Linked DNA regions of Pelodiscus sinensis. The protein of the gene in region 3 binds, or shares a complex with, the protein of the main gene of each other region. Links are inferred from orthologs where the notes say so. Each region holds a gene or a part of one and is shown on either strand. Other genes may lie near its edges.

Region 1 (7,514 bases), on a different chromosome or scaffold from region 3:
CAAAAAAAAGCGCCCCCCCTCCCCCCCAAAAAAACCATGGCACCTTTAAATTTCACACTCCCTTCCACATGGCAGGGGAAGAATGTCCCAAGTGGCTTTCCAGCTGAGAAACTGAAAATACCAGACATTTTACTGGGGGGGGGGGGGGGGGGGGGGGGGGGGGGGCGGGGCAAAGCCAGGAGTTTGGATTGTGCCTCAGGGCAGGGGATTGGGGTGCAGGGTCTGGGAGGAGAGTCTGGGTGAAGATATCAGAGTGGGAGTAGCTGGGGGACCGGACACTTACCAGCGAGACACGCTGCTCTCCTGTTTCTCCCACAGGACCTTCCTGGCCATGTGCTTGGGGATTGGTAGGTTCCCGCAGCTGCCATTGTCCATATCCGGACAATGGGCTTGTGCGGGGGGGGGGGGGGGGGAAGCAGCCATGAGGGACCCTCCCCTGCCGGCTCACAGCTCCTGCTCCACAAAGGGCCCCGCTACGACTGTTTTGCATGGGGCGGGGGGAAGAACCCGACGAGCGTGGGGCTTGCTCTGGATACTGAAGCGCCTACGCGGGCTGCCTGTTGCAGTGGGTGCAGGGCTCAAGCCTCCAAAGCGCCATGTCGGGCTCCCTCGTGGGTCTCAGGCTGCCGATCCTGCTCTAAAAGCAGGGGTGAATGTGAGCAGTTTTAAAACGCTGGCGCAGGCACACGTAAATGCCACCGTGGGCGCCATGACGTCCGCGGGCACCCTGTTGGGGACCACGGCTCTAAACCTACATCAGAAGTTAACATGTAACTCAGTGGGCTATCACAAGGTAGCTTTTAGGGACCAAATTAATACTGACCTGACATACGTTAGGACACTACAGTAATTTTTCTACCCAAGGCTTATCAGAAAATAGGTCAATCTAGAGAGAAATGCATTTTCTTCTGATAGATTTGGGTACAAGGTCCAAATCATGGAATCTGCTATTTCACCTTAATGAGAGCACTGACAGCCTAGTAAGCAAAAGCTCTTTGCTCCATCCACAAAGCAGCATAACACCAAAAAATACAACCAGTGATAATGACAAACTAAATCTTCAGCAGTTTAAGGGGGCTCTGGGAATTGCTCAAGTTGCAAACTAGATACAAGTCAAAAGTTGTTTACTTCATGCAGATGTAAAAAACCTCAAAAGATGCAAAACCCTTGCATCCTGATCAGATTCTAATACAAATCATTTAACTCAGCGCAGAAAAGAATATTTCTATTTTTTTACTTGATAGTGGAAAACATCTCCCCAGCCCTTATGGTGGTATAGCACACTGGTGTGTAGGAACTTATTTTTCCAGATAGGTATGACATGGCCAACTTTCAACACAATACAGCAGGATTTATGGCTTTAACAGTTAACACATTCATTCATTATAATCATTCAGTGTTTGTTCCCCACCACAAACACACACACACTATTATGCCATGTGCCAATAATCTTCATCTTCTATTTAGCTGGGTTACAACGTCACCAAATTACACACAGTTGCTTCAACAGTCTCTGGAAAAAATATCTATCTTAAGAAACTACGGCAATGACTGTCACAGAAACACTTAAGGGCTAATATGTTAAATATTATCAGTATAATTGTTAGCTAGAAATGGAAGAAAATGATCACTTCATGAATCAGAGAGCAATGCTTGTATAAAGAAGCCTACAGTAGACAAATATAAACCAAACAGCATAAAAAATGCTATACGCTATCGCTTCCAAATAAAAGCTAAATATTACAGAAACCTCACAGTGTTGGAAAAAGCAAGTTTAATTTACATTTTTTCCTGACTGCAATTTCTCCACACATCAGCACTACTGGGTTAATGTCATGTGGAGAGGCCACTAATCTCAAAAGAGGTCAACAGCAAATGCTACAAATCTGCTTGGAAATCTGATGCACTTCCCCCATCCCAAAAAGATGATGCATCAGATACAAACCTCAGTGGCACCATAGTGGCTAAATACATGCTTTGGGTCATATTTACAATCAGACAATGAACAGGCATGCAATGAGAATTAGACAGTATGACTTACGTTCTGCAGGTATCTGAAGATGAGGTTCTGTAATACAGCACTTAAGGAAAAGCACAGAAGCAGCACCGACTGCAACATGGGTCACTGTAACAACTAATCTGGTTATCGCCAAAGCTTCCATTTTAAAAGTGCTTTACTTTTAGGCAAATAAAAATTAACAATTTCTGGAGGCGGGGGGGCGATGCCGAGTTGGCATTTAACCCACCTGTCCCCCTTCTATCCTGTTCTACCCTTCCCAGTGCTCCCTAAGGCCAGAGGTGACAGAACGACCTCTAGGGATAAATCCCTGCAGCTCGCCAGCAGCCAGCGAAACCTACAGGCGCCTTCCAGCCGGGAGTTAAACCCAACAGCGCCGGGGATGGGCTCTGAGACCCGGGAAGTGCCCCCCCCCCCCCCCGCCGCACACCCAGGGCCTATCCCCGGCGCGTGCTGAGAGGAGACCTCGATTCCCAGCACGTGATACTGGGTGAGGGGCTGGGAGCTGCATGGCAGCCCCCCCCCCGGCTCCAGCGCCCAGCCCCCCCCCCCCCGGCTCCAGCGCCCAGCCCCGCTGCGAGCACCCTGCTCATCGCCTCATTCTCCCCCCTCGTCTCGCCCCCCCCCCCCGGGCCAGCCCGCTCAACCCCCCCCCCCACCGGGCTCCTCAGACCCCTCATTCTCCCCCGGAAGCCCCCCCCACTCATCTCGCCCCCCCCCCCCGCACCAGCCCGCTCAACCCCCCCCCCTCAGGCTCCCGGCCCCCCCCGACTCCGCCAGCCCGGCCCCGCCCCCGCGGCAGGATACGATGGGCTGCACCATCACCTTCTGCACCTTCTGGCCCTGCCCGCGATACGCCATGGCCGCGAGCGCGCCTCAGCCACCCGGCAGGAGAGAGAGAGAGACGAGGAGAAACCGTTACCCGCCGCGGCCCCCACGCGCCCGCCGCAGCAGCTGCCCGGCTTCCGCTCCAGACCGGAAGCGCGGCTGCCCCCGCGGAACGCCGGGAAGCTTCCCCGGCCGCTCTGGCACGCTGGGAGGACTGCCGTCCCGCCTCTACTGCTCCCGCCTCTCTCTGTCTCTTGTCCCACTGCGGGCGAGGCCCCCAGCCTGGAGCTGCGGCTGCGCAGAGCAGGCCAGGCAGGGGTGCCAGACAGAGAAGCCACGTGCTGAAGGCGGCTGGTTGCAGGAATAACTCATGCCATGCCCCCCCCCCCCACCCTGAGAGTAAATGTTCTGCAATAGACACACACCGGCCTTGGACTAGACTAAGACACTGGAGGATGCTTGCAGGGCCTGCACCTAGAGCCCCGCTGCAGCATTGGTACCGCAGACACCAGGCCCCGCTGCCTTCGATCCGGGGTGCGGATACCCCCCGGGATCTGCGCATTTGCAGGGTTCTAGATACAAAGACTGTCCCCCGCACCCATCGGCCAAAAATTAGTCGCAGAGATCTGCAGATTTGCAACGCTCAGCATAGTGACCCTATGGCCCCCAAAATCCGGGACTGTCCCAAGTTTTAATGTTTTTTCCAGGTGTCCCGACACCCCCCAGATTTGTCCCGGAAAAAAGTCCCTCTCTGCTTCTTTTCCTCCCTCCTAGCCCTCCCTAAGGAGGAGTCAGGGATGCTTCTGGGACTTCCCTGTGAATGAGGATCCAGCCAATAGAAGAAGCAGGAGGTTGTGCCCGTAGGAGCCTGGGAAGCCGAGTAAGTGGCTGGGCTGCCAGCTGGGACAGACAAGGGGAGGAAAGGGGGGAAGCAGTGCGGTGAAGAGCATCTCTGCTGGGGGTGTGTGAAGAAGAGCACCCCCCATGGCCCGGTGGAAGGGGAGGGGCAGAGAGCAGCACCCCACCTCATGGCTGGGCTTGGCTAGACGGGGCCAAATGGTGGAAAAACAATTGGAAAAAGCTACTCAAATTGTGGCGTGCAATTTGCATAGCTTTTTCAGAAAAAAACCCTGATAGGCCCAAATCCACTCCTGCGTCCACCGTTCCTCCTGCACCCTCCTCCTTCACCACACACTGTCCTCTCCCCCTAGCCAGATACTCTACTCCCAGCCTGTTGCGGCACCCTACCTGCCACCCACACCTTGCAACCTCTCCCTCTTCTTCCCCCCACCTCTCTCCCAGATCCTGCACCCCATCGCTATCCCATTCTCTGGTGGCCCTGTCTCACATACTGAACCCCTGATTTTTGTTCCCAACCCAGAAACTAAGGGGGCTCCATAAAATCTTCCAGAAAAGTTGGGGCTGGAACGCTGGAGGAATGTGGTGTCTCAGTTGGGGGTCACGTTGGTGAGGGTTCGGGGTTTTTGAAGTTCTTTTGCTTCTCATGTCTGTGGTCCCCAACTGACTTTTCTGTGGCTCAATGGCCCCTCACCCAAAAAATGTTCCCCATGCCGGCCATAAATAATCTAAACTTAAAAAACAACAAATGGTCTGATAGCACTTCAGCTTGAGAATAAAGGACTGAGGAGAGTGAGGTGTGGGAGAATAAAACTGAGCTCTGGGGAAATGTTTGGTTAGAGTTTCCCCTACAATATGTACCAGTTCCGACTTACATACAAATTCAACTTAAGAACAAACCTACAGTCCCTATCTTGTACGTAACCCAGGGACTGCCTGTAGTTAACAGTGAGATTCCATTAGCAACTGGTGGTCTATGGAAAGGTTTACATTGGCCATTGGACCCCCTGGCTCAACAAGGTTGAAAATGACTGAAATAGAGGTACCCCTGGCCTCTCTCCCGAGAGACATCCCCAGTCTCCCTGTTGCTCCAGAAGAGCCCCCAGAGAGATTGGGTCTGTTACCACAGTGGTGAAATCAGTCACTCAGGTGTGGATGATGGACAGACTTTTTGTGAGTTTTCCTCATCCAAGCAGTTAATGATTTAAACCATGTGTTAATATGCCAGGTGAAAATACTTGGTGCCTCCATAGAGGGACAAGTTGGACGTTAGGAAAAAGTTCCTAACTGTCAGGGTGGTGAAACACTGGGATAAATTTCCTAGGGAGGTTGTGGAATCTCCATCTCTGCAGATATTTAAGAGTAGGCTAGATAAATGTCTAACAGGGATGGTCTAGATAGTACGTGGTCCTGCCATGAGGGCAGGGGACTGGACTCGATGACCTCTCGAGGTCCCTTCCAGTCCTAGTATTCTATGATCTCTCTCCAGAGAGGTTGTGTCATGGTGAACAAGCCCTTTGTGAGCTCTGTGAAGAGGTGAGATGTTTTGACTTCCAGCTTCAAAGGAATTTGTTCTGTCTTTGGGCTACACATTGCCTAGACTTCAATGGAGCTAGCTGAGAACGCATTTCTTAGTTATTCTGACACAAAGTGAAACCTGTGCTAAAGACCCCATGTCTAGTGAGAGAAAGTGCTGCTGTCTGAAGTAAATTCAAAGTTTCTCCAAATTTCTTCAGTTTGCCTCTACCAGGCAGTGGGGCTTTGACTGATTGGTCCCTTATATTTTTGAAGGATGACTAAATATTACCCAGATCTTCTTAGGTAATATCAACAGATTGCTTTGGGCCCAATCCTAGCTTAAAATTAAATTGGATCAGGCGCTTTGTAAGCAGGTTGGGAAGTGGTCTCATTTGGCAATTATTATTAGCTATTATTTACGTAATATAGGCATTGCCATCATGGTATTGGCATAGACATTTCTCAGTAGCTTTACATATAAAATAGCCTAGCCCCATTGATATAATGGGCAATGTACCTTTCAAGCAGAGGTAATGAGGATTCATGACATAGTCTTCCCCACCCTGTAATTGTCATGGTTCGGTATTGTCATTCTGGCTTGTGGAAATGGAGGACACTTCATAATTTTGCAGTTACTTCAAAAAATGCGGTTGCAGTCCATTTCATTAGGGATGTAAATTCCCATTCATCAGTTAACCGGTTAATGTTAGGTCACAGTGGGGCTGCCGCTGGTTCCCAGCCCCTTCTGGAGCAGCCCTTGTCTATAGCAAGCTGGACTCCCCATGGAGAGAGGTGCAGTCCATGCCTTTGGGGCCCCCGAGTTCTCCAGAGACAATGGCTGATTTGGATGAGCGTAACCCCTATCTGCAGCAGGCCCTCTATGAGCCTGGAGCAGCCCCCTTCCTAGCTCCAGCCCCCTCTGATTACCAGTTAATTGGAGCCAGTAGGAAACATCCATTAAGAGGACTATGGAAATTGTCCCATGAAATTGTGGGATAGTTCTGGATGATTCCCAGGTTCTGAGTCAAATGGGGCTGCATCTACACTGCAAAGTAATAGGTCTTATTGGATCTCATCTTGAATCGAGGTTAGACCCCTAGCACTGCACTATCATGGGACCCTAGGTCTATGCAATTGCAGTATAGTTGCATGGGAGACTTCTATGGGGCCCAAATAGATCCCTCTAGGTAGAGAATGGTGGGAGGAGTGCTTTAGAGGGGTCACATGACACCCTTTACTTCCAGTGATATATTCATCTTGACCCTGGAAATACTATCCCAGGGGTGGGATTTCCTGTGGCAGGTAGGTAGGGCCTAAGGGGTCAGGGGCCCCGCTAATGGTTTCAGGGGGTGTGGCCAAGGTGTCCCTATTTTTGATTCAGAAAATATGGTCACTGTTAAATTCCACTCACTTCACCCTACATCCTCTCCCGGACAACCGTGCAATGGATAACATGGATGTTCAGATCAAGATGAACATTTGCATGGTAGGCACAAAAAGGATGCCTGCCTTGCTATCCTTTTGTTCCTCTCCTTTAAAGTAGATTTGTCCCCAGTTCTAGGAGGCCATACATATATGTCATTACTGCAGTTTGTCAAGTGTATGCTGGAATAATACAACCACTCTCACTCTCAGAAGACTGTGATGAAGTTGAGGAAAGCAAGCACATTAAGAATTTTCCAGTGGCTTCACCCCCTCCATTTGTAGGGCTTTGTGCTCTGCCCAGCTCTGGCATGCACTGTTGTTTGGGCAAGTCACTTTACCTTTCTGTGTCTCAGTTTCCTCTTCTGTGAGATGGCAATTATATTCTTCCAGTTTTGTGAAGCGCTTGGAGACTGAAGGATGAAAAAAAACACACTCAAGTATTGCGATTCCACACACACAGTGTCCCACTGCCTGCCTTCCATTGTTTGCAAGCTCATCCTGATTCCTCTCTGCATTCTGTGGAAACCATTTTCAGATTTAGCTAGAAGCCATCTTGTATAACAGAAACCATTTCAGCTTCTTGCTTCTGCATGTACGCCAGTGAGTGAACTTTCTGTTACCCCATGATAGAGGCCTGCAAGATGAGCTATTGGAATGTGTTAATTGAGCTGGTTGAGAAGGGAGACCCACTCCCTAGTACCTGCCCACTGTCTTGCTGATAACGGTTTTGCTTTTCTAAGTTTAATTAATGATTTCTATAATTGGATGCCCCGACGTCAGACTTGTTTGGTTAATGGTATAAAGATACTAGGATTGATTGTATTAGCAGCCTTACTGGGCCCAGCTCTGCTGGGACCACGTTTGGCTC
Region 2 (7,658 bases), on a different chromosome or scaffold from region 3:
TCAGCAGTTCCTTGAGCAACCGAGCCCTTGGGGCTGACTTACTAGCTACATGTTTCTTGCCAGCCCTGTGGACTGTCAGCATGTCAAGTGTGTCGAAGACCGGACGGTGGAAACACACTGTGCAGGCATATCTGAGGAAGAAGAGGAAAGATGGTCAGATCAAGCCAGGATAATCCCTGCCCCCTCATGCATACCTGCTAGGGCAGTTGGGCCCAGCCTTTCTTATTAGCATTAAGAGACAGTGCACTTGGTAATACTGCAAGTGGGAGAGACATTCACTAGAATAAATGACCATGGTCCTCAAAGTCATTCAACACAGTGGGATTTCTACAAATATAATTGGCCAAGGTTCCCAGAGCACAGCTAGCCAGGATAAATGTTACTACCCCATCTTACACGTGGGGAAGCTGAGAGATTTGCCCAACAAGTCATGATTCCCACACCAGTGTCCTGGATGCTGGACCACATGCCCTTTATTTTATCATCTCCAGTTTGAAATTTAGGGAAACAGGTCAGAACTTAAGTGACAACCAAGGAGAGTCAAGAACTGAAACCCAAATTCCTGGCCCCATGGCCACTGGTTTATGCTCATTCTCTGCTAGGCATTTAAAAGTTTGAAAGCTGTATTCACTCTGTTCGCTTGTTATGTTGCACATGATTTCTACTGCCCTGTACTGTTCTGTAGTAATCCCTCACACCTCGGTGACACCTGTCTGAGTCTGTAATATTAGCCAGAGGCTCTCTTGGGGGCATGTGGCTCTTTTATATCTGAAGGGAAACAGGAACTCTCTGCAAAGCCAAAATGAAAACTAACCCAAAAAACAAAACACCCCAGATCAGCCTCAATGCACTGCACCCTGGATTTTGGTGGTGTTTCAAGTCCAAAGCTAGATCCAGGTTTATGTTTTACAGACCATCTTTATTTTTATAATGGGCCTGAGCAAAACATTTCTGAATGCTGGAAATCCAGATCAGAACATTTAATAAACACCACCACCCCTAGGCGAGCTCTTATCAAGTGCTTTTCATCACTAGATCTCAAAGCACTTGAGAAAGGAAGGGCAGCATTGTTATCCCCATTTTACAGATGGAGAAACTAAGGCACCGAGTGATAAAGGGATTTGCTCATGGACACAAAAGAGGTTTGTACCAGAACAGGAAGAATCCAGGTGTCCTGCCTCCCACTTTGGTACTCTGTGCATTAGGTCACGTGGTCAATTTTGCAGCTTCAGCCCCCCAAATATATGCAGTAATCAATTAATTGAACTGGTTCAAAGATTCATCTGTAATCTGATTCCTATGGCACATGGTCCTCTCAGAACAATGCTGCCTACCTTAGAATAGATCTAACATACCTGCCGCTCCTTAGCAACAGTGCCTCATCCTCAGGGATATAGTTTGCCAGCAGATCTGCAACTCTTCTTTTCTGAATAAATGAACAGGCCACGTTACTGAGGAATCAATATTTTGGGTGTGGGCGGCATAGCACCTGGCACCAGGATGAATTGGGCCCTTCCATGAAAAATGAGTCACGGACCATGAAACCTAGCCGTCCATTGTGAAATCTGGCCTTTTGTTTGCTTTTATCCTATACTATACAGATTTCATGGGAGACATCAATGTTTCTCAAATTGGGGGTCCAGACCAAAAAGGGAGTTGTGTGTGTGTGTGTGGGGGGGGGGGTGTCATGGTAATGCCACCCTTATTTCTGCGTTGCCTACAGTTGAGTGGCCATAGAGCCATGGCTGTTGCTGGGCACCCAGGTCTGAAGGCAGCATCCTGCAAGCAGCAGCACAGAGATAAGAGAAGCAATACCATGCCATGCCATCCGTACTTCTGTGCTGCTGCTGGCAGCAGCTCTGCTTTTAGAGATGCTCAGCTCTGAAGGCAGCACTGCCACCAGGAGCAGTGCAGAAATAAGGGAAAAGTACCACAGTCGTCCCTTCCCCCCACAACTCCTGCTGCAATTACAACACCTTGAAATTTCAGATTTAGATAGCCAAAATAAGTAAATGTATTATTTTAAAAATCCTGTAACCATTAAATTGACCAAAATGGATTGTCATTTTGATAGGGGCCTATAGAACAACCACCACCACCTCTAGATCTTATCTAGTGCTTTTCTACTGTGGGACTCAGAGCACTTTACAAAGGAGGCTGGTATTATCATTATTACAATTTTACAGATGGGAAAATTGAGGCACGGAGCAGGGCAGTGAAATGCCCAAGGTCATCCTGCAGACCAGTGGCAATGGCTAAGAATAGAAGCAGGAGAAGGGGGCCAGAAGGCAGGCGCCAAGGGCTGAGGAGTGTTGTGGGACCACTCTGGGGATGGGGAGTAAAGGGGAGGGGGGAGTAGCAGGGAAGCAGCCGGGTGGTCGCTCTGGGGCTGGGGGGAAGGGTTGGGAGGAGGGCAGGCGATTGTTTGGGGGACGGGAGAGCAGGGGGAACAATGTGGGGGCAGGAGAGTGTCGGGGGGGGCAGGGGAATGGCTGGGGGAGGATGGGAGGCCGGCAGGGAGTTGAGGCGATTGTTTTGGGGAGGGGGCGTGGCGGCGCTGAAGGGGGGGCGGGGAGAGGCTGGGAGGGGAAGCAGGGGGCGCTCTGGGGCTGCGGGAAGGCTGAAGGGAGGACAGGGGAACGGGGCTGCCAGGAGTTGGGAGGGGCTGCGGGAAGAGCCAGCGGGGCGGCGTTGGGGAAGCTGAGGGGCTCAGGGAGTTGCTCTGGGGATGAGGAGAGTTGTGGGGCCCGTGGTGGTTGGGGGGGGTCGGTCGGGGGGCGGAGCCGGGGTGTCCCGCCCCGCCGCTCACCTGCAGCACATTCAGCTGGCCCGAGTCATCCCCCTCCCGCTTGAAGGACATGGCGGCGCCCCGGGAGGGCTAGACCCCTTCCCAACCGGCGGTAACCATGACAACTGGAGCCACCCCGCACTTCCTCTTCGGTTCACTTCCGGGACTACCCTTCCCAGCATGCCTCTGGGCGCTCGGCACCGATAGGCCTCTGGGGTCAAAACCGCCGTGATGCGTGGAGAGGGCTAGAAGGCGAGGGGCATGCTGGGAAATGTAGTCCTCACCCACGTCTCTGCTTCCGCGAGGCGACGCTTGTGGCTGGGTTGGGGGGGAGGGGGGAGATGTTCCCCGCTGTGCTTCTCCTGTGGCCTCCAAAGGGGCGGAGCGTTGTTAGGCGGGGAGGAGCTTGCTAGGGAGAGACTATGTTCCCAGAGGCCTTTGCGCGGAGTGGGCGGGGGTTGGCCCCGCTCCGCTGTTGGGGCGGGGCGGAGCGGAGGCAGCGCAGACTCTGGCTGCCCTGCGCGGGGTGGCGGGGTCCGTGGGGTGGCTGGATTCCGGGGGGAGGGGAGAGTAATTTGCCCCTCCCCCCGAGTAAAGGGGGGGCGGCGCGGATGAGATAGAGGAACCCCCCCCCCTTATCCCTCTCCGGCGGAAGGGGTGGGGAGGAAATCGAGGGACCCCCTGCACCCCCATCCGTGCAGGCTGCGTTTTGCAGTGTGGGGCGGAAATTGGGTGGCCCCCTGCCCTGGACTAGAGGCCGAGAGGGGGGAGAAGAAGCAAGACCGGAGAGAGACCCTTTGGGGGGGGGCTAGAAGCGGGGGGGCTAGAAGTGGGGGGTCCCTAGTCTGCCTGGGAGGCCCTTGTTCGTTCTGCCATGAGCACCCCTCAGGAAAGAGGGTGCTGGCAGGAGTCCTGACCCCTCCAGGCCCCTCTGCCGCCTGCACTGGTTGCACCACTGACTGGGGGCTGGGGGGGGAGATGGCCTCCCCCTCCAGGCAAGGATCCCCTGGAGGGGCTGGTTTGCTCTGTGGCAGCAGGACCCGGTCCTACGGCAGCCTCATCAAGTCGACACACTCCCCGGTGAGGGAGAGGAGGGTGGAACATCGTCTGGAGCCGGGGGACACCTTGCAGGGGCTGGCACTCAAGTATGGCGTCACGGTAGGTCTGCGCAGCAGCTTCCCCTTGCGATCTGGGGGATGTAGCTGGGGTGCCCATGAGGTCCCACTGTTGGAGCAGGGGGCAGTACCAGGACTCCTGGGTTCTGTTCCCAGCTTTGGAGGGGAGTAGGGTCTTGTGGATGGAGCAGGGAACAGGAAGCCATGTCTTCTGGTTTCTGGTCACCACTCTATACCTTTTTCTCCGTTTTATAAAAAAAGCTATTCCCATGGATGTACCTTTTGTAAAGTGCTCGATACCTGACCTGTCCCGGCTTCCCTTCTTTCTTGTGTCAGCCCTGATCCTGCAGCTTGGGGCCTCATTGATTTCCACTGATTAGGGGGACCCCATTTTGTACTGTGCTTTGTGTGTCTTGGATGAGGAGTTCTGCTAAAATACTCAGCATTACTGCTTTTTTGTTTGCTGAATGTCTGGGGTGAAGTAGGGAGGCTCCCATCATGAGCACCCCTAAGAAGAGGGGCTGCTGGCAGGAGTCACCTCTCTTGCGTCCAGGCACCTCTGATTCCCCTGTGGTGGGATCTCCTGGTTCTTGGCTGAGGCTCCTAGAGGCTTCTGCAATACACCTAATGATTCATAATAGTTTATGGCACTCCAGAAGGGGATTGGCAGAAAATCAAAGCCATAGTCCAGCGTCCTGATCATGGAACTTGGAGTGGGCACCCCACTGGGGTCCTCGGAGTATGGGTGGATGCACGGGAGGGCTGAAAGTCTGAAGTCTCATGCAGATTTAGGTCTGAGGGTTCCAATCCTTCAATTGCTGTCTCCTCATGGTTGCCCAGGTGTGCTGTTGCCTCTTCATGTGGCTGATGGGATCCGGCTAATGTGCACTTGTGCATTCACATGAACTTGCACCCTTCTCATTTCCTGTATTTTGCAACTTTGTGTTCTGTGGCCCCAAGTGGTTTTCACAGGAGTTCAGTGTATGCAGCAGAAATTCCCCTGGTGATGGGAACAAAATCCCCCCCCTCCCCCACACACACATATCCGGCTGGGCCGGGCCAGCTTTGCTGTCTGTGGTGTGGTCAGGCAGTAGTGGCCCTCAGCAGTTTAAACCTTGATAGGCCTGGAGCCTGACCACAGCAATTCATTCTTCCCTAGAACACATGCATGCTGCTCGCTGCAGGAGTGCCTTGCCGTGCAGCTGGAGGGGCAGGGAAAGAGGGGAGCTTTCTCTGGGGCTGCCAGCCAGGGGGCCAGCTTTATTTCAGTGCCAGTGCTGAGAACCTGCCAGCTCATTTTGCAGGGACCTAATGAGCAGCCAGTAAGGTAGAAAGGAGGGTTTTTTGGTCTTTGGGCTGGAGATGAGGCATGTGCCGTGGTGAAGGGTTTCCAGGTTGTCTTTCCTCATCCCTCCCACCCCCAGCAGAGCATAGGAGACCGGTGGGGTGGACCCGCTAGCAGACTTGTCAATGGCATGGCCCTCTCCCCTCCAGTGAGAGAGCACAGACTCATCTGGCTGCATTGAAACCTGAGCCTCAAGCATGCGGAGTCTGTCCCCCCACATCCTCAACATTAAATCTCTAGTGACCTCCAGCCCTTCTCCCTGCCAGCACAAACCCAGCATTTGCAGTCCAGGCCAGCTGTGTGCCTGCTTTCTCTCATTGTGTGGTGTTCTGTTTGCTTACTGGTGCCCTCCACCCCAGAAGTGGCTGCATTTTGGTAGTGACTGATATTAGGCACCCAGCTTGCAAAGTAGCTTTTAGGACCATGCTCTGAATAGAGAAGGTTGGTGATGTCTGTCGCAGGCTAGTGGGCTTACAAGTCTTATGGTGCCTTCCCAGATGGAGCAGATCAAGCGGGCAAATCGTCTGTACACCAGTGACTCCATCTTCCTCAAGACGACACTGCACATCCCTGTCCTGGTGGAGCCCGAGGAGATGGTGAACGGCTTAAAGCGGGAGGAAGGAGCCACACAGCCTGCCACGGGAAAGGAGACGCTGGTGCTGAAAAACAGCTCTGCGGCCAGCGCAGGCTCCACCCCCCGTCATGACCTCTCGGCCACGGATTTCTTACGAAAGCTCGACTCCGAGATCAATCTGTCCAAGAAGGCCGCGGTGAAGAAGCTGAGAGAGGGGGAAACAACGTGAGTGCCACCCTGCAGTTACTGTGGCGCTAATGTGGTGCCCGGGCTGTATAGGCAGGGGGTGGAACCCCAGTCCTGTTGCTCCAGCACATAGGCCCCTGCTAACAGCATAGAAGGAGAGTCTCTGCCGGCTGCCCTTGTGTTTGCTCTGATATCCTCTGTGGGCTGCTATGGGCAAGGGGACCCCACAAGTTTCAGCTGCCTCCCATAGGAGGCGCAGTGATGCCCGAGCACCCGCAGCTCAGGTTTGACAAACCCATGGGGGGGGGGGGAGAAATGAAAACCCTGTCAAATCAAGTGCTGTGCTCATTTAAAAAGAAAGGAGCCCGCAGCCCGAAACCTGTGAGACCCCACTCATGTCCTGCCCCTTAGCCTGCTCCTTCCCCACTGGCCCAGACTTAATCAGGAGTCCCCAAGAATGGTCTCTCTCATTTTTTCCCATCCACTTGAGGAATATATTTTATATGCACCAAGGCATGTGTCAGTGTGCACCACCAATAGAAACATGCTGCCAGCTGTTTGCACTGGAGGGCACTCTGCTAATCCACTGGGTGGCATTTGAATCTCTCTTGGGTGGTCACCTCGGGGCTCAGCTTTCAGGGAACACTGGTCCCCAAGGCTAATGGGCAGTATCCTGGTGGGGGCTGACGTGAAGAGAGCTCAGGCCTGAGGGGGACGGCGAGGGGTTCTTCATTGCTGACTGGGCAGAGGTGATGTATGCCCCAGGCTTTGGCTGCTCCGGGCCTCCCCAACCCCCATCCTGCCCCTCCTCGTGCTGTACAGTGGCCAGGCAAGTGCAGATGCCGCTGGCGTTGCAGCTAGGGATCCGGCGCGGGGAGGAGAGGCTTGATTGCGCGTGAATGACGAGGAGTTATCTGAAGGTGATGAACAGCCGCGCACGGCAGCGTGATGCTGTTTGGCCCCTCCCTGCCCCCCCCCCCCCCTCATCTCCTATTGGCGCTGTGCTGGCAAGAGCTAAGAAATCGTGTCCTGCCAGGCTCGTGCTGCGCACTGCCGAGGTGGGAAGGAATTCACCAGGGTCCCAGGCTGTTTCCTGGGTCCCTCCAGGGGAAACGGCCCTTGGTCGCTCCTGAGGGGGAGGACACGCTAGGTGGGATGGATCCAGTCTGTCACTGTCTGTGGCTCACGGGGCAGAGGTCCCCGTATGGCTTGGATTGTTAGAAACCGCCGGGTTCTTGTCCTCCCCTTGGTGCAGAGCTGCAGGGGGATCCGCTGCCAGTGCCTTGGCTCAGAGCGTAGCTGGAGGAGCCTGTGGCCACTGTCTGGCCCCCCACTGGCTGCTGTACAGGGAATCCCCGGCTCCGAAGCCAGCTCCGCTAGACTTGGGGGCCACTAGAGGGCGCCGTTGCCTGCGGTGAAGTTCTCTGCTCGGAACTGAGCAAGGTTCCAGCCCCTAAATCCGCACCCGCAGCCCCCTCCTTTCCCAGCCCTGGGCTCCTGGCCCTCAGTCTTAGCCCCAGGCCATGGCCCCCCCACCCTGCCCCCAGTTCTGCTGGTTCACACTCTGCCCGAGGTTCCCGAGCCATGTGAGGGTTTTGTTGGCTTTGAACAAAGATCCCACAGAGCTTCTACAGTCGTCCCTCCTTCCCA
Region 3 (7,747 bases):
AATGGGTGAGGCTTACTGGTTTTGGTTAACCAGTGAGGGTTGGAGCTGCTCCCCGCCCACTGCGCATAGGGGGGCTGTTTCAGATGGGGCACTCCAGACTGCCCAGACCAGCCTCTGTCCACGTCAGGGGTGGGGGAGTCCACAAACAGGCTAAAGCAGTCCCCTGGCAGCCTCACCTTTAATAGGTTAATCAGTTACACATTACAGTTAATCAACTAAATGGGATTTTACATCCCTAGTTCACATTTCCATGGCAATCCCTCTACGACAGTGGTCCCCAACCTTTAGAGGCTCCGGGGCGCCCGGGAGGTGGGGCCACTCACGCGCTGGGCACCCGGGAGGTGGGGGCCACTCACGCGCCAGGCGCCCGGGAGCGGGGCCGCGCGTCCTGGGGCACGTCAGGGGACTGGGATGCCCTTGCACCCGGTGCCGGTGTGTGCCCTAGGGCCGGGGCTGGGGCTGCCCAAGCGCTTTGTGCCGTGGGCCCGGGGCTGGCGCTGCCACCCAAGCCACGCGCCTGGAGCTGGCACCAGCGCTGCTCGAGTACCGCGTGCCCGAGCGCCCGCACGTGCCCCAGGGCTGGGGCCGCCCGAGCGCCGCGCACCCAGCGCCGGTGCATGTCGCGGGCCAGGGCCTCCAGTGCACCGGGGGCAGGGCCAGCCCAAGTTGTTGGCAGGCGCACACGAATGCCCCAGCGGGTGCCATGGCGCCCGCGGGCACCGCGTTGGGGACCACTGCTCTACGACAAAGCTATTAAAGTCCTTGCCACTGAACTGACAGCCAGCCAGTCAGCCTTGCAAGCTCCCAACCCAACCAGACAGGCTTTCAGAAGATAAGACTCCTAGCTCCACAGCAGAGAATCTATAAGCCCTGGGAACCTTAGCTTCAGCCTGGATTTCAAGACTCCCTGCTATGAAGCTAGGAGCCTGGAAGTCCTGATACTGACTTCCACACTCTGTGTATCTAGGACAGCCTCACCATGAAGACTGCCCTGGGATCAAGAATCTCTCAGCTTCCGGACTCTGACTAGCTGCTGGCTAGTAATCTGGAAGCCCTGAGATCATTGGGCAGGGTGGTCTTCAGGGAGGGCCGCCTGAGAGCTACAGACCTTGGGAGCTACAACAATGGCTGACTGAAAATGACATTCTTGTCAGTTTCTGGACTACTAAATGTCAATTTCCAACAGCAGTTGCCTGTCCCCAGAATCAGTATTTTATTTTAGAAGCACCAAATATAGTTTCCAAAATTAATTTTTAGTTTATAATGAAATCTAAACTGGACCAAATACAAAAAAATTAAATGAAAGCAAAGAAACTGGAAACAGTTGCAAAGGAGGGCCTCACATTAATGTTTTTAGACATACCAATAATTTTATGATAGTTGTTCTTACCTTACATCATCCAATGGTATAGGCTTTCCATTATCAGCCACAAACATATCATGAGTTCTCTTCAAGGATCTGAACACTAATGTGTGCACAGAGTGTTTTTGCACCTCCTGCAGCAGAGGAGATACATTTAATTATATATATGGTTTAATTATATATATGATAATTCAATGAAAAGCCTGAAAACTACCAAGAAAATTAATGATTCTTGTCTTCCATATGTAAGAAACGAACTCAGTTTAGTGTATGCAGTGGTGCTTGAGTGGTAAAAACTATAATTTGGTGTAAGAGACAGTTTCATTTTCCCCATCCTCAAACTTAAATCACCACTTAATTATTTTTTCCTTTCATGGGATACTGTGAGAAAAAAAATCTAGCAGGACAAAACTTTGATCAACATTTTATTTCCAACTGTAGGCACATAAGTGAATTTAATGAAGACAAACAAAAAAGGTTTTTATTTACACTTGCCAGCTACATTTTTATAAATAACCAATAAAGCGAGTCAGGAGAAAAAAAGCTACTCAAGAATTTATTGTTGAGTGATTGAAGGATATTTATTTCCTATATTTTGACATGTGAGGTTGACAATTTGTGTTTGAACAGTTATCAAACTTTTAACTTTTTGAATCAACATCTATTGTCATTCAATAGTCTGAGCCTCCATCAATAGTTTCCAAGAAGCATGAACATTTAAATTCTAAAAATTGGAAAAAGCTTACAAATGAAAATGGATATTACTAATTGGTATAACAAAATTATAGTTCTACAGAGCCTAAATATAATTTTAAAACATAATTAACAAGATAATCTGCTGGTCTGGTCTGACTGAACACTGCAATTCCTATTGTTTGATGCTAATGCCACTTGCTTTTGTAAAGTACTTTGAGATCTATGGCACCTAACAGGCCATGTAATCAGATAATAAAAGAAATTAGTCTGATGGTTTTCTGTCCAGTTTTACCTGCCAGACCTCCATATAAACGCAGCACCACAGGGGCAAATACTGGCTGCGGGGGAGGGGACATCCCATGTAGCAATTAAAATTTTGGTGAGACACATGGGGAGGGAGGGTAATCAACAGTCCCCTACGCCGCGCCATACCCTTTGCTACTGGTCAAGCCCCTTGGTAAAGCCAGCAGAGGCCCAGTGCCGGAGAGCGGCTGTCGGGTTTAGGGCTGACAGGGCGGCAGGAGGGTGCTCACGTTACCGCCAAGCGGCAGAGACGGCGACACCTTTCCCGCAGGTTTAAAACCTTTTCTGCAGGAACGCGGCTCCCCCCGTCCCGAGGGCACAGACCCCGCAGGGGGCGTATCGGGAACGCGGCGCGGAGCTAATCGCTGACACAGGGGAGGCCGAAATCCCCCCGCCCCCCGCGTGCGCGCGTTGTTCAGGCCGCGAGCTCCTCGCTCCGGCAACGGCAAGCCCCGGGCCCGGGTGCTGGAGTTTCGGGGGCGGGGCCGGTCTCTCACCTCCACCATGGTGCCCGCTCCCCCAGCAGGAAACCGGCCGCGCTGTCCGGTCCGCTCTCCTATGGAACTACTTCCGGCGCCTGCCCGGCTGCCCCGGAACTGACGCGCTGAGACATGCGCGCGCACACGCGCGGCACTGTAGCGCTGAGGGGGCGGGAGGCACTAGGAAGAAGGCGGGAGGAGCAACGGACCTAACGGGCGTGGGAGGCCCGGCCCCTCCCCGGCGGAGGCGGCTCGCGCTGCTTTGGGAGCCGGGGGTTCGATTCCTTCCTCCCCCCCCCCCCCGATGCCCAGTGCAGCGGGGGGAGGTGCCGGGGGCGCTGAGAGCTGCGGAAGGATGAAGTGTTTCTGGCTCCCTGCAAAAGATGCGCGGCGCTAGGTGCTGGCGTGAGGATGCAGGGGGGGCTCTATACAGGCTTTATAGTTTGGTTGAGTAGCTCTCAGCACCCCGCAAGGCTACCAGTCTGCAAAATGCACAGCTGCAAGGGTACCCCCCAAATTACCTTCAGCAGCTTTGCAGGCACTGGTGGCCAGGCTCATCACCACCCCCTGCCTGTGGCCTGAGCACAGCAGAGCTGTCTCTAAATTGGGTAAAACTTAATCAAAACAAATAGTCTAGTAGCACCTTAAAGACTTAACAAAATATGTAGATGGTATCATGAGTTTCTGTGGGTACAACACACTTCTTTAGATGCCTGCAATAGATCCAATAAAAGTCCAGAGCCAAGAATAAATAAGGGAAAAGGGAGGAAGAAAAAGAGAAAAATGACAGTGAACAGATTGTTCAAGTTACAAGAGGCTGATAAAAACAATTAGCACCTCCGTTGGTTAAGTCATTAGGATGTGGAAGGTAGTGTGTGGAGCCCACCCCACCCTTTCCGGAAGCCCCACCACTGCTTTGCTGCACCCACACCACCCTGCTCTGCTCCCTCCTCGCCTCCATTCCACCCCAACCCCTGAGCAAAGTGGGCTAGGAGACTAAACGGGGGCCTAGTGTTGGTAGCAGGGATCAGGACCAGCCCCATACTCACTGGTGGCAGCAGGAAGCAGAGTGATCCAGCTGCAGCCTGCTCCACTCCACTAGCTTCCAACCACATCACACTGCTTTCCACCACCACCAGCAAGTTCAGAGTTAGTTTCACCCTTTTTCCTAAACCCCTTCCCAGGACAACAAGGCTATAGCTACACTGGCGGGTTATTGCACATGATCAGCCGTTCTTCCACAGAGCATCCACACTGCCCATCTGCTCTTGCGCAAGAAGATTTACAGTAAAGCGTGGTAGGAGAGGACTTCTTGTGCCAGAGCTATGCTCTTTTCTAACAGGTGTAAGCTCTCTTGCACAAGAGGGCAGTGTGGATGCTTGGCAGGGGTTTCTTCCGCAAGATAGCCCTTTGGCTAAAATGGCCATCAGAGCTTTCATGCGCAAGAGAGCATCCACACTGCCATGGATGCTCTTGTGCAAAAGCACATCTTGCACATGGCATTGTGAACGTGTTCTTGCACAAGAACACTTGCGCAAGATGTGGGAACCAGCAGTTGGGCTGGGTCTGGGTCTCTCCACTTCTTGCTGCTGCTTGTGAGTGTGGGGGTGGGCCCAACCTCTGTTGCTTCCCTGCCTGGCTGCCCTGCTCCTGCCTACCCTCATTGATGGACTGCCCCTACTACAGAGTGTCCCCCACGGGGGGCTGTGTAGGACACCAGAACTGCTAAGGACAACTTTGGCCTTCCACTATAAATATTGTTGCAGCATCTCTAAGTAAGCTTGTATGGTTTAGGGCCATTGATTTTAGATGAGCCTGGTTCATCAAGCACCAACAGCACCTTTTGTGGTGACACAGCATTCACAGCATGTTTTGGGTGTTGAGGCAGCTGGGGATAGATGGAGCAAGCCACTGGCGGTGAGCCCTGTATATAGGGCAGCATAACTTTCAGGAGAGTCCTTTCTAGTTTCAAACACCAGAGTTACTGAAAGCATTGTTCTATCTGAGCTGTGGGACGGCCACTCATCATCCCATTAAGACCTGCACAGGCGCTGAGGATGGCAGCGAAAAGAGATGCCTCTACCCAAACCCCAAAGCTACCACAGATAGGGGAGAGGTGCTCTACCTTACTTGCTGGAGCAGGGAGCTGTGGTGGATGGGACAAAGGCCCCCTCCCTACTGGCCCCAGCACGAAGCAGCCACAGCTGGCAGGGAAGCGCCACTCACTGAATCCCATTAGGAAGAAGCCATGGGTAGCAGCAAGGGTGCCATTTTTGGGAGAGCGAAATGGGGCAGCAGCTGGGTGTACTGGGACACAGCTTGCTTTTCTTCCTGTTCCCCTGATGATAAGGGAATGAGGGGAAAGTGCTTGCATTCCGTGAATTACTCCTCTGCCCCCTTCCTTCACCAGCCAGGATTGAGAGGCATGCATGGAATCCAAGTACTTTCCCTTCGTTCCCTTATCATCAGGGGAACTGGAAGAAAAGCAAGCTGTGTCTTGGTATGCACAGCTGCTGCCCTCCTCCCCCTCCACACACACCCCATGCTCTCTTGAAACACCACCCTTGGCCAGCAGGGAAGCCATCATCAGGTTCAGCTCCTCGGCAGAGGATAAACGATTCTATGCATTGAGCACTGGAACTGCACTCTCATTGACTGGGAACCAGCCAATGGGAGCTGGGGGCAGGCAGTGTATGTGGGCAACAGCAGCACGCATGGTGGAGCCTCTTGCCACTTTCCTCATGAATTGGAGCTGATGACCATTTCTGGGGCACAGTGTGATGCCCGAGGCAGGCAGGCATCAGGCAGCCTGCCTTTGTGCTGCTGACCAGGAGCCTCCATGTAAGCCCATCACTCAACACTCTACACCACACAGAGTCCTTCCAACTTGGAGCCACCTCCTACACCTCAAACACCTCATTCCCAGCCCCACTTCAAAGCCCATGCCTCCAGTCCAGAGCCTGTACCCCCTCCTGTACACCAACCCTTCCCAAAGCTGGAGTTCCCTCTTGCATCCCAAAATTATCATCCTTAACCCAGCCCCAGAGTCTGCACCCCCAGCCAGAGACCTCACATCCCTGCACTCCAATCCTCTGATATAAGCCTGAACCCCTCAGATTCAGCTCCATACGAGAATCCATACCCTCAGCCAAATCCCTCCTGCACCCCAATTTTCTGCTCCAGGCCTGAGCCCCTACCACACTCAGAACCCCTTGACTCCATGAATTTTGTTATGTGTACCAATATGAAGGTGATGTGTTAAACATTACCTCTATATTGGTGCATGCAACAAATTTCACTTCACTAGAGGTGGGAAGAATTAGAGGTAACATTGGGAACCCCTCTAGTGAGTGAACTTCCCCTGGCACCCTGACAGAACAGGACTCCTTTGAATGAAAAGCTGTAGCCAATTGAAATATGCATCTTGATCATGTGTTAGAAGATAATAAGGGAGCAATGCTTTGCAAACCTGTTGACAGTTTTTACAGACTACCCCCAAACAGGCTGAGAAACAGCTTTAATTTAATTTAGGCTCAAAGCCTGACCCTTACTCCCAGTCTGCTTGCCATAGAGTAAGACCTCACACATTTTCTTTACCTAAAATGGTTTACTGAATTGATGAGGAACTTTAAAGTGCATACACATTGTTCACTAGCCTAAACAATTCAGCCAGATGGCAAAAAAAAAAAAAAGTTAATAAATGACTGAAAAGAGCTGTTTAGAAGATACGTTCTTATGCAGCTTTAACTGCAACAACACCATGTTTTATCCAGACTACCTTGTGTCATTTCTACTCCTCAATCTCTGGGGATTATTTGATGAGGAATACATCTAGCCATGTAGCAACACAGAGGTTTTGTATAAACAACCATTGCACCGAGCTATTAACCATCCAAACATAGCAACTGCAATTACAGATGCTAAACAGAAGAGTGCAACAGTTAGCTTTCTAAATACAGGCAGTCCCCGGGTTACGTACAAGATAGGGACTGTAGGTTTGTTCTTAAATTGAATTTGTATGTAAGTCGGAACTAGTACATAATGTAGGGGAAACTCTAGCCAAACATTTCTCCAGAGCTCAGTTTTATTCTCCCACACCTCACTTCCCTCAGTCCTTTATTCTCAAGCTGAGGTGTCTGTTCAGAAAAGCCGCTCCGCGTCTCCTTGGTCTGCTGCAGGGGGGCGCTAGCTTCGCATTTCCCTGGTCTGCTGGGGGGAAGTAGCTAGTGCGGGCTTGCCTCACCCCGTTTGTAAGTAGGGATCCGATGTAAGTCGGATCCATGTAACCCGGGGACTGCCTGTAACTGTAATAAAGATCAGAATCTGCTGAAAAGCATGTTGACAATTCCAAAATGAGAAATATCTCTGGAGTATTGGTTTCTGAGTTTAGCTTCAATTTTATAAAACTTGATCCAACTTTTTAAACTTATTAGAATGCAGAGAAATATTTTAGTTAGTTTTTTTCTAATTAATAGACATTGTAATATATTAAACTTTATATATGAAATAAACCAGAGTAATGTGGACAAGGAGACGTGTTTTTAATCTAGAATCACAATAAGCAATTTTTAAAGGAAAACTGCATTATGATGTGATACTTTATTCATTACACTTAATAAAAATTAAATTCACTAAAGAACTGAGCTGTTCAAGGACATATTTAAGCTACCTTTGGATACACATTTGCCAAGTTTATATGTGCAAATCAGTAATTACAAATGTGTTTGATGTACCTCTCAGTGTTCACATCTGTGTTTGTATCTATTCGTTAATACTAGAGGTCTGTTTCTCCCATATTAAATATAAAAAAGTTTTTCTATTATGTATGTGAGTCCTGGATGAATAGTAACATGGGATGGGCATTGATGTACAGAGTATCCCATTCCTAGAGTCCTGTATGGATTCA
Region 4 (7,785 bases), on a different chromosome or scaffold from region 3:
GTTCTCAATAGTTGTCTCATTACAATAAGGACGTGGGTTAAAAACTCTCATTAAGCTACACTTTGTGTTTCACTATTTAGAGATTTATCTAATCTTACACAGTTTAATTTTCAGCACTGCAGCATGTTAGTAGAGTGAAGGGGAATGTTGCCTTAATATGAAATAATTCACCTCAAGTCCTATTGAATACTAGAACTGGAAGGGACCTTGAGAGGTCAAGTCCAGTCCCTCTGTCTTCCTAGCAGGAGCAAGCACCATCTAGATCAATGTTTCCCAGTTTTATTTGGCCATGGTACCCTTTTAAACTCGAAAGAATTTTACAGAACCCCTAATAACAATCTTTTATATATGGAGCTGAAAAAGTAGACCACAAATAAGTTAGGATAATAAAAAAATGCTAAACAAGTTCATGAGATCAACATTTAGTTTAATTGCACATATTTAAAAACAAAACACATTGAGAATGAGTGAGTATGGGTATTTACGGTGGTATATAACAGGCGATCACACCACTGTCTGACTGTGTGCACAGCGTAATGACATTACACAAGGACACTTATCGTGGCAAACACAAATGAAAATTGTTTTCAATAAAATTCATAAATGCTTAAATTTTTTTTAAATCATAAAATATAATTGTAATGGAATTTTCTCATGGAACCCTTATTTTCACTTTGCAGAACCCCGGGGTTCCGCGGAACACCATTGGGAAAATACTGATCTAGATCATCCCTGAGAGACGTCTGTCACAACTGCTCTTAAATCTCTCTAATGAGGGAGATCCCTCCCTAGGCAATTTATTCCAGTGCTTAACCACCCTAACAATTAGGAAGCTTTCCTATCCTGATCTCACACCTGTTTCAGCTGTTCTGTATAGATTTTTATACTCCTATCATCGCTGTAGTATCTGAGGGCATTAAGCAGTTTGAGCAACATCTGCCATAGATGGTTTGTCATGGAGTTGAGCCTCTCCCCCAAGTTCAATTCAGGGCCATAACAAGGGCGAGGTGAGTGAGGCACTTGCCTCGGGTGCATGGCTGAGGCGGCACAGAAAAGACAGCTACTACGCGGTCTTCGCTCATGCCTTGCGCCATATCAGTACCCCCGCCCTCGCTGAGGACGGTCTTGCCTTAGGCGCCCAATTAGCTAGTTACAACTGGCTCAGTTGGACTACAGAATCAAAGCAGCAAGGCTGACATCCCCTGATCCATCAAAATCCAACTAGTGCTTTCAACTACTGTTGTTCATTTTACAAAGTTTTAAGGCTACTCCTTACCAACTGCAAACTCCACGAGGGTCTCATTGTCCTCTGTGAGCATATCGAGAAACAGGTCAAGGACTTGAAGCTGTCGGAGATATTCGTAGTTCTTGGGATCATAGGCGAAGTTGGCTAGATTAGCCAGTACTTGCTCCTTGGCTTCTGCAATATATATGCATTTAGGTGAAGAATGAGGCAGCTGAGGTGGGCTGGGCTGTCCCATTTCTGAAGAAAACCTCTCTCCCCCCCCCCCCCCAATAACTGATGAGCCAGCTATGATCCTGACATTTGGAATATACTTTAATAATAATAAAAAAAGGCTTATAAGTTCACCTGGAGACTCTGTTACTTGGAACTCTGTGACCAGTGCTTGCAAGTATTCAAGCCGCCCCAGGTCCAGTGGATCCTGCTGCTTTTGAGACATGGTGCTAAAGAGAGGAAAATTAAGTTTTGTTCAAAATAGTGTCCTGTATGACCTCAGTTTCACTGCAAGGTTAATAAAAACATTCTGAGAAGTATAGACTAGGCAATTGGTTTTCTTTTCTCTCCCTTCACATTCACTGAGGGGACTGAAAGTGGTAGTATAACCAGCCCTGTCAAGGTTTGAATCAGAAACATGCTCACTACAACTGGGTTTATCTTATTTGCACTGAGAATCATTGGCAATTGTCCCATGTTTCATCAAGCATTGTTGCAGCTCCATTACATCAGTCTCCACTATAAGTCGCCCCAGCATATATCTGTTCCACACTAAAGTCATTGACTCTTGTAGGAACTGATGCATTAAGAGTCCTCCCATTCCCCGCTCTTAAGTCACGCACCCTCCCCCTCCCCAAAAAAACAACAACCAATTTGTGCAAATGGAAGTCAGTCACCAGGAATTGCTTAAGTTGTTTCGCTATAAGTTTAGTTTTTTGGAATGTATCTTGGACTTAGGACAGCCTGTAGCATAGGCTAGCCATGAGTTTTTACTGTAGTCTTTTAACCCTTTTACGCTGGTAATCCCCCAGGCTACGTCTAGACTGGCATGATTTTGCGGAAATACTTTTAACGGAAAAACTTTTCCGTTAAAAGTATTTCCGCAAAAGCACGTCTAGTTTGGCAAGGATGCTTTTGCGCAAAAGCATCCATGGCCACTCAAGATGTGATTTTGCGCAAGAAAGCCCCGATCGCCATTTTAGCCATCGGGGCTTTTTTGCGCAAAACAGTTCTTCCCTGTCTACACTGTTCCTCTTGCGCAAGTATTCTTATACAAGAGGGCTTTTTCCCGAGCAGGAGCGTGGAAGAATTTGTGCAAGAAGCACTGATTTTATCCATTACAAAGTCCGTGCTCTTGTGCAAATTCAAGGGGCCAGTGTAGACAGCTGGCAAGATTTTGCAGCAAAAGCTTGTCAGTCTAGACGCACCCCCAATGCTCACTTTACACTGTAGCTTCCATCATTGCCACCTTTGGTGAATGGGCGGCTTGCAAGGGGCCGCGGCGCACTATTGCCAAACCCAGCCATTCCACAACTGCACCAAAACCACGAGCTCTCCCACTGAAAAGCACAAGCTGTAGCCACCCTGCACCGCGCGCCCGGGGCTGCAGGGCGACCCTGCTCTGCAACCCAGCGCCAAGCTCGCACCGTCTCCAGCGCTGTCCCGTCCCGGGCCGCTCCAGCCTCCCTCTGGCCTCGCGCGCAGCGCCTCGCCAGCCCCTCCCCGCGCCTGCGCACGCGGGGAGAGAGGGGCGGAACGTCGGGGGGCCACTCGAAAGAAGAGCGGAAATGGTGAGAGCGGCCGGACGTGACGTATGAGGAGGGTGGCGGGGGGGGGGGTCCTGTTTGTGTCCCGCTATGGGTCGTATGTCGGCGCGGAAGCGGCTGGCGAAGCCCCTCCTCTTCGGCAGCATCCTGTGTGCGCTGGCCGCCGCCTTCGTGCACAGGTGGGGGGGGCTTTGGGTGGTAGGGCTCAGCTGGGGGGGGACCCTGGAGGCCTTGGCCGGCAGAGCTTGGGGGGCTCATCTGGGGGGGGGACACTAGGGGTCTTGGCCGGCAGAGCTTGGGGGGCTCATCTGGGGGGGGGACACTAGGGGTCTTGGCCGGCAGAGCTTGGGGGGGTTCATCTGGGGGGGACACTAGGGGTCTTGGCCGGCAGAGCTTGGGGGGGCTCATCTGGGGGGGGACACTAGGGGTCTTGGCCGGCAGAGCTTGGGGGGGTTCATCTGGGGGGGACACTAGGGGTCTTGGCTGGCAGAGCTTGGGGGGGCTCATCTGGGGGGACACACTAGGGGTCTTGGCCGGCAGAGCTTGGGGGGGCTCATCTGGGGGGGGACACTAGGGGTCTTGGCCGGCAGAGCTTGGGGGGGGCTCATCTGGGGGGGGACCCTGGGGACTTTGGCTGGGGGGGCTCATCTGAGTGGGGGGACACTGGGGGCCTTGGCCGGCAGAGCTTGGGGGGCTCATCTGGGGGGGGGACCCTGGCGGCCTTGGCCGGCAGACCTTGGGGGGGCTCATCTGGGTGGGGGAGGTTCTGGGGGCCCTTGGTTGGAAGATCTTGTGGGAACCTGGCCAGAAGGTCTTGGGGGAACATTGGGGGACATGGCTGGCAGGGCTTTGGTGGGGGACTCAGGTGAGTAAGAGGAACTGGGAAGTTTCAGGGGGGCTCAGTGCACTGCAGTTACTGTCTTTCTCTGTCTCAGGCACCGCTTCTTCCCTGAGGTGGAGGAGCTCCGTGCCAGGGAGCACGAGCACCATGAGAAGATGCGTCAAGAGGTGTTGCAGAGGCGCCAGAAGCAGCTGGCTGAGCTGGCAGAGAGGAAAGCTTCCTCCTAGGCTGAGAGGGCTCCAGGGAGCCCAGCTCACCCCTTCAGTAGGGATGGGGAGCTGTGTTGGGAAGTGAAGAATATATACAACTCTTGCACATGGCACACAGTGCGCACAGACTGAGTGAAGCTTCCATCGGCTTGGCAGGGATATTGGCTGGAGTTTCCTCCCCCAACTTGCTTGATATGCATGAGTGATGGCTTCAGAAATCCCCGTGTTGGTATTGTGATCTACTAGTCAGATCAGGGCTCTGGCAGTCTGGGATAAGTTCAAGTCCTAGCTCTGCCAGTGAATTGCATTGTGTGATGTTGGACGAGTCACTGTCATTCAGCTTCTCTGGGGTTGTCTTCACTGGGAAAAGCAGTTGAGTTTAGATTGAACTTAGCTAATATGTTAGCCGAGCCTAACTTAAATTAGACCCTTTTCCTAGTTTAGACATATTTAGCTAATCAAATTGCGGCCTAGAAGATGGTATCCTGCATCTATTCTAGGGGAAAGAAGGTCAGGTTTTGCTAACTTGTATTAACCAAGCGTGATCTGAACTTGACCACGCTGCCTAATCAAGAAACACCCTCTGTGCCTCAGCTTTCCTAGCTGTAAAGTGGGGTAACAGTGCTTGCCCGCTTGTATGAAGCATTTTGAGATCCATGGATGAATGGTGCTATAAGTGCTAAAATAATTGACTGGTGACAATATACCTGAGTTTATTGTCACTTAAGGTGAGAAGTGTCTAGAAATCTGGATCTCTCTGATGTAACATTTTATATCTTATCTAAAGTGATTTTTGTAATCTGTTGTTTCTGCCATGATAGTGTTGCACACTACCAAATAAGACTTTAGCTACAGCTTTTGTCTGATAAATCATCCTTAAGAGTGATTGAAGAGCTTAATTTTAAGCATAAAATGACTGATCCCTAAGTGCATCCCATTTGTTATTGCTTTGTGTGGTATTCACAGCAGGCTTTGTATTGTTGATTGAAATATGAAGGGACCACTCTCCCTTGAAATTACAGATGTAAATACACATTATGGTATTTGTTTAACTCTTTCTGTAATAAAAAACAATGTGTTTTAAAGCAGGAATTTTTTTTTTTGCACTCTAGGAAGGGCCTAAATATCCCCAAATAAGACTTTCACTCATTATTTTTGTATTTCCTTATAATCAGGGCTTGCCAAGTGGTGGCAAGCCCCACTCGCCAGCCATGCCGTTCTGCGCATGCGCAGATCGCTCTGCGCCGGCTCTTCCGAGTTGTAATCTACTCGCCATAGGCGAGTAGATTACATTATTTGTCGAGACCTGCTTATAATAATATTTTTTTATATCCCCTATTCCAGGGGTGGGCAATAATTTTTGATGGGGTACCACTCCAAAATTTTGGAAAGTGGTCGAGGGCTGCACTCTTCCATGTTCTTGATGGAGGAGATGTGGGGTCTAAGATGGAGGTTGGGTGCAGAAGGGAGCTTGGGGTAAAGGATTGGGGTGCATGAGGGAGAATGGAGTCTGGGAGGGAGTTTGGGTGAAGAAGGCAGTAGTGACCCAGGGAAGGGGACTAGAGTGCAGGGTAGGGATGTAAGTGACTAGTCGAGTATCCAATAAGCAAATGTTTATCGGATAGTCAACTTGACTAGTTGCTTTCCCCCCACCCCTTTTGCTGCCTCTATCAGAGTCGACTGCTTCAGTCTCCGCTGTGGGTTCCCACCACCCGCGTTTCTGCTTTTGACATGTAAATCATTAGACTTGCTGACTTGCAAAACAATGTTAAAAGAAATTACATGGGATACCTATCACTGCAGTGGGTAAAAGTCTGTGTAGGAATAAAGTTTTTAAATATATCATGAGACTGAGAACCTTGGGAAGAGAAAAGAGAGAGAAAACATACAGGATGGCTGTGTCTACGTTGGCACCCTTTTCCGGAAAAGGGATGCTAATGAGACAAGTCGGAATTGCAAATGCCGCGGGGGATTTAAATATCCCCCGCGGCATTTGCATGAACATGGCTGCCGCTTTTTTCCGGCTCGGGGCTTTGCCGGAGAAAAGCGCCAGTCTAGACGGGATCTTTCGGAAAATAAAGCCTTTTCCGGAAGATCCCTTATTCCTGATTTTAAGAGGAATAAGGGATCTTCCGGAAAAGGCTTTATTTTCTGAAAGATCCCGTCTAGACTGGCGCTTTTCTCCAGCAAAGCCCCGAGCCGGAAAAAAGCGGCAGCCATGTTCATGCAAATGTCGTGGGGGATATTTAAATCCCTCGCAGCATTTGCAATTCCGACTTGTCTCATTAGCATCCCTTTTCTGGAAAAGGGTGCCAATGTAGACATAGCCGATATGTTGGAGAACAGAAAATGAAATAAGGAAGGAAAGAGGAATAGGGCAGAGTGCAGGGAAAGAGAATGAAAAGACTAAACAGCTTATGTACATCAAGACAAATTATTTATGAAAGGAAAAGTGGAGTGAAGCCAGTAATGGGAGGAACATCTAGCAAAGAACAGAAGATAACTCTGTGCCAGAGTACAATGCCCTGATCTAAATACAAAGTTGCACTGCATACATTTAAATCAAACATAGATGTGATTCTAACCAATTCACTTGAACTGGTGTCACTGGTGTCAGCACTGTTAAATGATTTTAAACCTGGTTGTTTCTGTTTAGCTGACACCTGTATTATTTATTTATATTGTATTTACTTGTATTACTTGTAAAATTACAGGTGTGAGCTAAATTTTATAAAAACGGTCTTAAACAGATGCCTACATAGGTTTATATTAGTTCTTTAAACTAATTTTTAAAGCAATTCAGTGTAAATCGGGGCAGCTTTGATAGAAAAAGTTTAGGCTTGGTCTACACTATGAGTTTAGGTCGAACCTAGGGAGGGTATGTGGTCCTGCTGTGAAGGCAGGGGACTGGACTCAATGACTTTTCAAGGTCCCTTCCAGTTCTATATGAGAGGTATATCTCCTTAATTTTTTTTTTAGCTATGTTAGGTCTATTTTCTAAACACCAACCCCATTCTGTTGACTTTAAAGGCTGTTAAAGATGATTTCTGAACTCCTCTTTGGCAAGAGGAGTAATGCTAAATTTGACATGGGGGGATGGTTTACAGGCCAACACTTAATTCAGTGGGTACCTTATTAAGAGCAACATACATGACTCATGTTGCTGTCTTGTCATTCACAAAACTAGCTTTCAAAGCCTCTATGATTCTCACTGCTCCTTTATGTATTCACCTAACCTTTAATTATGAACAGCCAGAAACCAGGGGAATGAGATCTGCCTCAACCCTCCCATCCCACCGGAAAAATGTCCCCCCTTTACTTTCACAGATATTGTGGACTACACAGAAAGTTGCTACATCAATGGGAATGTTGCTTTTGCTGTCAGTCAGTAAATTGTGAAACGTTTCCTTCAAATGTTCAAAACCACATTCTGTCACTTTTCTGCATTTGCTCAGCCTGTAGTTGAACTACTCCTTACTGCTCTCCAGGCTGCCTGTGTACGGCTTCATGAGCCATGAAGGAAGTCAACATCCAAAGAAACATTTCAACATCTTCAATGGTAATATTTTGGTCTGGGGAGAAAGTTCCATCTTGCAACTTTCTGACAAGACTAGAGTTCCTAAAGCTGTACGTGTCATACATTTTTCACGACCATCCCATGTTGATGTCGGTGAAATAGCCTTTGTGATGCACTAGTGCCTGCAGTACCATCGAGAAGTACCCTTTGTGGTT

Evidence for each region.
Region 1: PLRG1 (region 3) and SNRPE share a complex: the UniProt entries of both Homo sapiens proteins name them as parts of the minor spliceosome. The link is inferred for Pelodiscus sinensis from reciprocal best matches to the Homo sapiens genes PLRG1 and SNRPE.
Region 2: PLRG1 (region 3) and SCNM1 share a complex: the UniProt entries of both Homo sapiens proteins name them as parts of the minor spliceosome. The link is inferred for Pelodiscus sinensis from reciprocal best matches to the Homo sapiens genes PLRG1 and SCNM1.
Region 4: PLRG1 (region 3) and ARMC7 share a complex: the UniProt entries of both Homo sapiens proteins name them as parts of the minor spliceosome. The link is inferred for Pelodiscus sinensis from reciprocal best matches to the Homo sapiens genes PLRG1 and ARMC7.

The regions. Positions count from the first base shown.
Region 1 is NC_134737.1:8,527,978-8,535,491, forward strand, and holds the start of SNRPE (small nuclear ribonucleoprotein E), read right to left. Parts: upstream 3,008-7,514; 5' UTR 2,879-3,007; coding exon 2,825-2,878; intron 2,069-2,824; coding exon 2,042-2,068; intron 1-2,041. UniProt on the Homo sapiens protein: Plays a role in pre-mRNA splicing as a core component of the spliceosomal U1, U2, U4 and U5 small nuclear ribonucleoproteins (snRNPs), the building blocks of the spliceosome.
Region 2 is NC_134734.1:15,658,552-15,666,209, forward strand, and holds the start of SCNM1 (sodium channel modifier 1), read right to left. Parts: upstream 3,014-7,658; 5' UTR 2,861-3,013; coding exon 2,810-2,860; intron 1,427-2,809; coding exon 1,356-1,426; intron 132-1,355; coding exon 43-131; intron 1-42. Other genes in the region: LYSMD1 (lysM and putative peptidoglycan-binding domain-containing protein 1), read left to right, coding at 3,767-3,946, 5,746-6,047. UniProt on the Homo sapiens protein: As a component of the minor spliceosome, involved in the splicing of U12-type introns in pre-mRNAs. Plays a role in the regulation of primary cilia length and Hedgehog signaling.
Region 3 is NC_134715.1:56,845,411-56,853,157, forward strand, and holds the start of PLRG1 (pleiotropic regulator 1), read right to left. Parts: upstream 3,017-7,747; 5' UTR 2,869-3,016; coding exon 2,860-2,868; intron 1,498-2,859; coding exon 1,391-1,497; intron 1-1,390. UniProt on the Homo sapiens protein: Involved in pre-mRNA splicing as component of the spliceosome. Component of the PRP19-CDC5L complex that forms an integral part of the spliceosome and is required for activating pre-mRNA splicing.
Region 4 is NC_134730.1:12,490,088-12,497,872, forward strand, and holds the start of ARMC7 (armadillo repeat-containing protein 7), read right to left. Parts: upstream 3,012-7,785; 5' UTR 2,884-3,011; intron 1,687-2,883; 5' UTR 1,683-1,686; coding exon 1,592-1,682; intron 1,421-1,591; coding exon 1,277-1,420; intron 1-1,276. UniProt on the Homo sapiens protein: As a component of the minor spliceosome, involved in the splicing of U12-type introns in pre-mRNAs.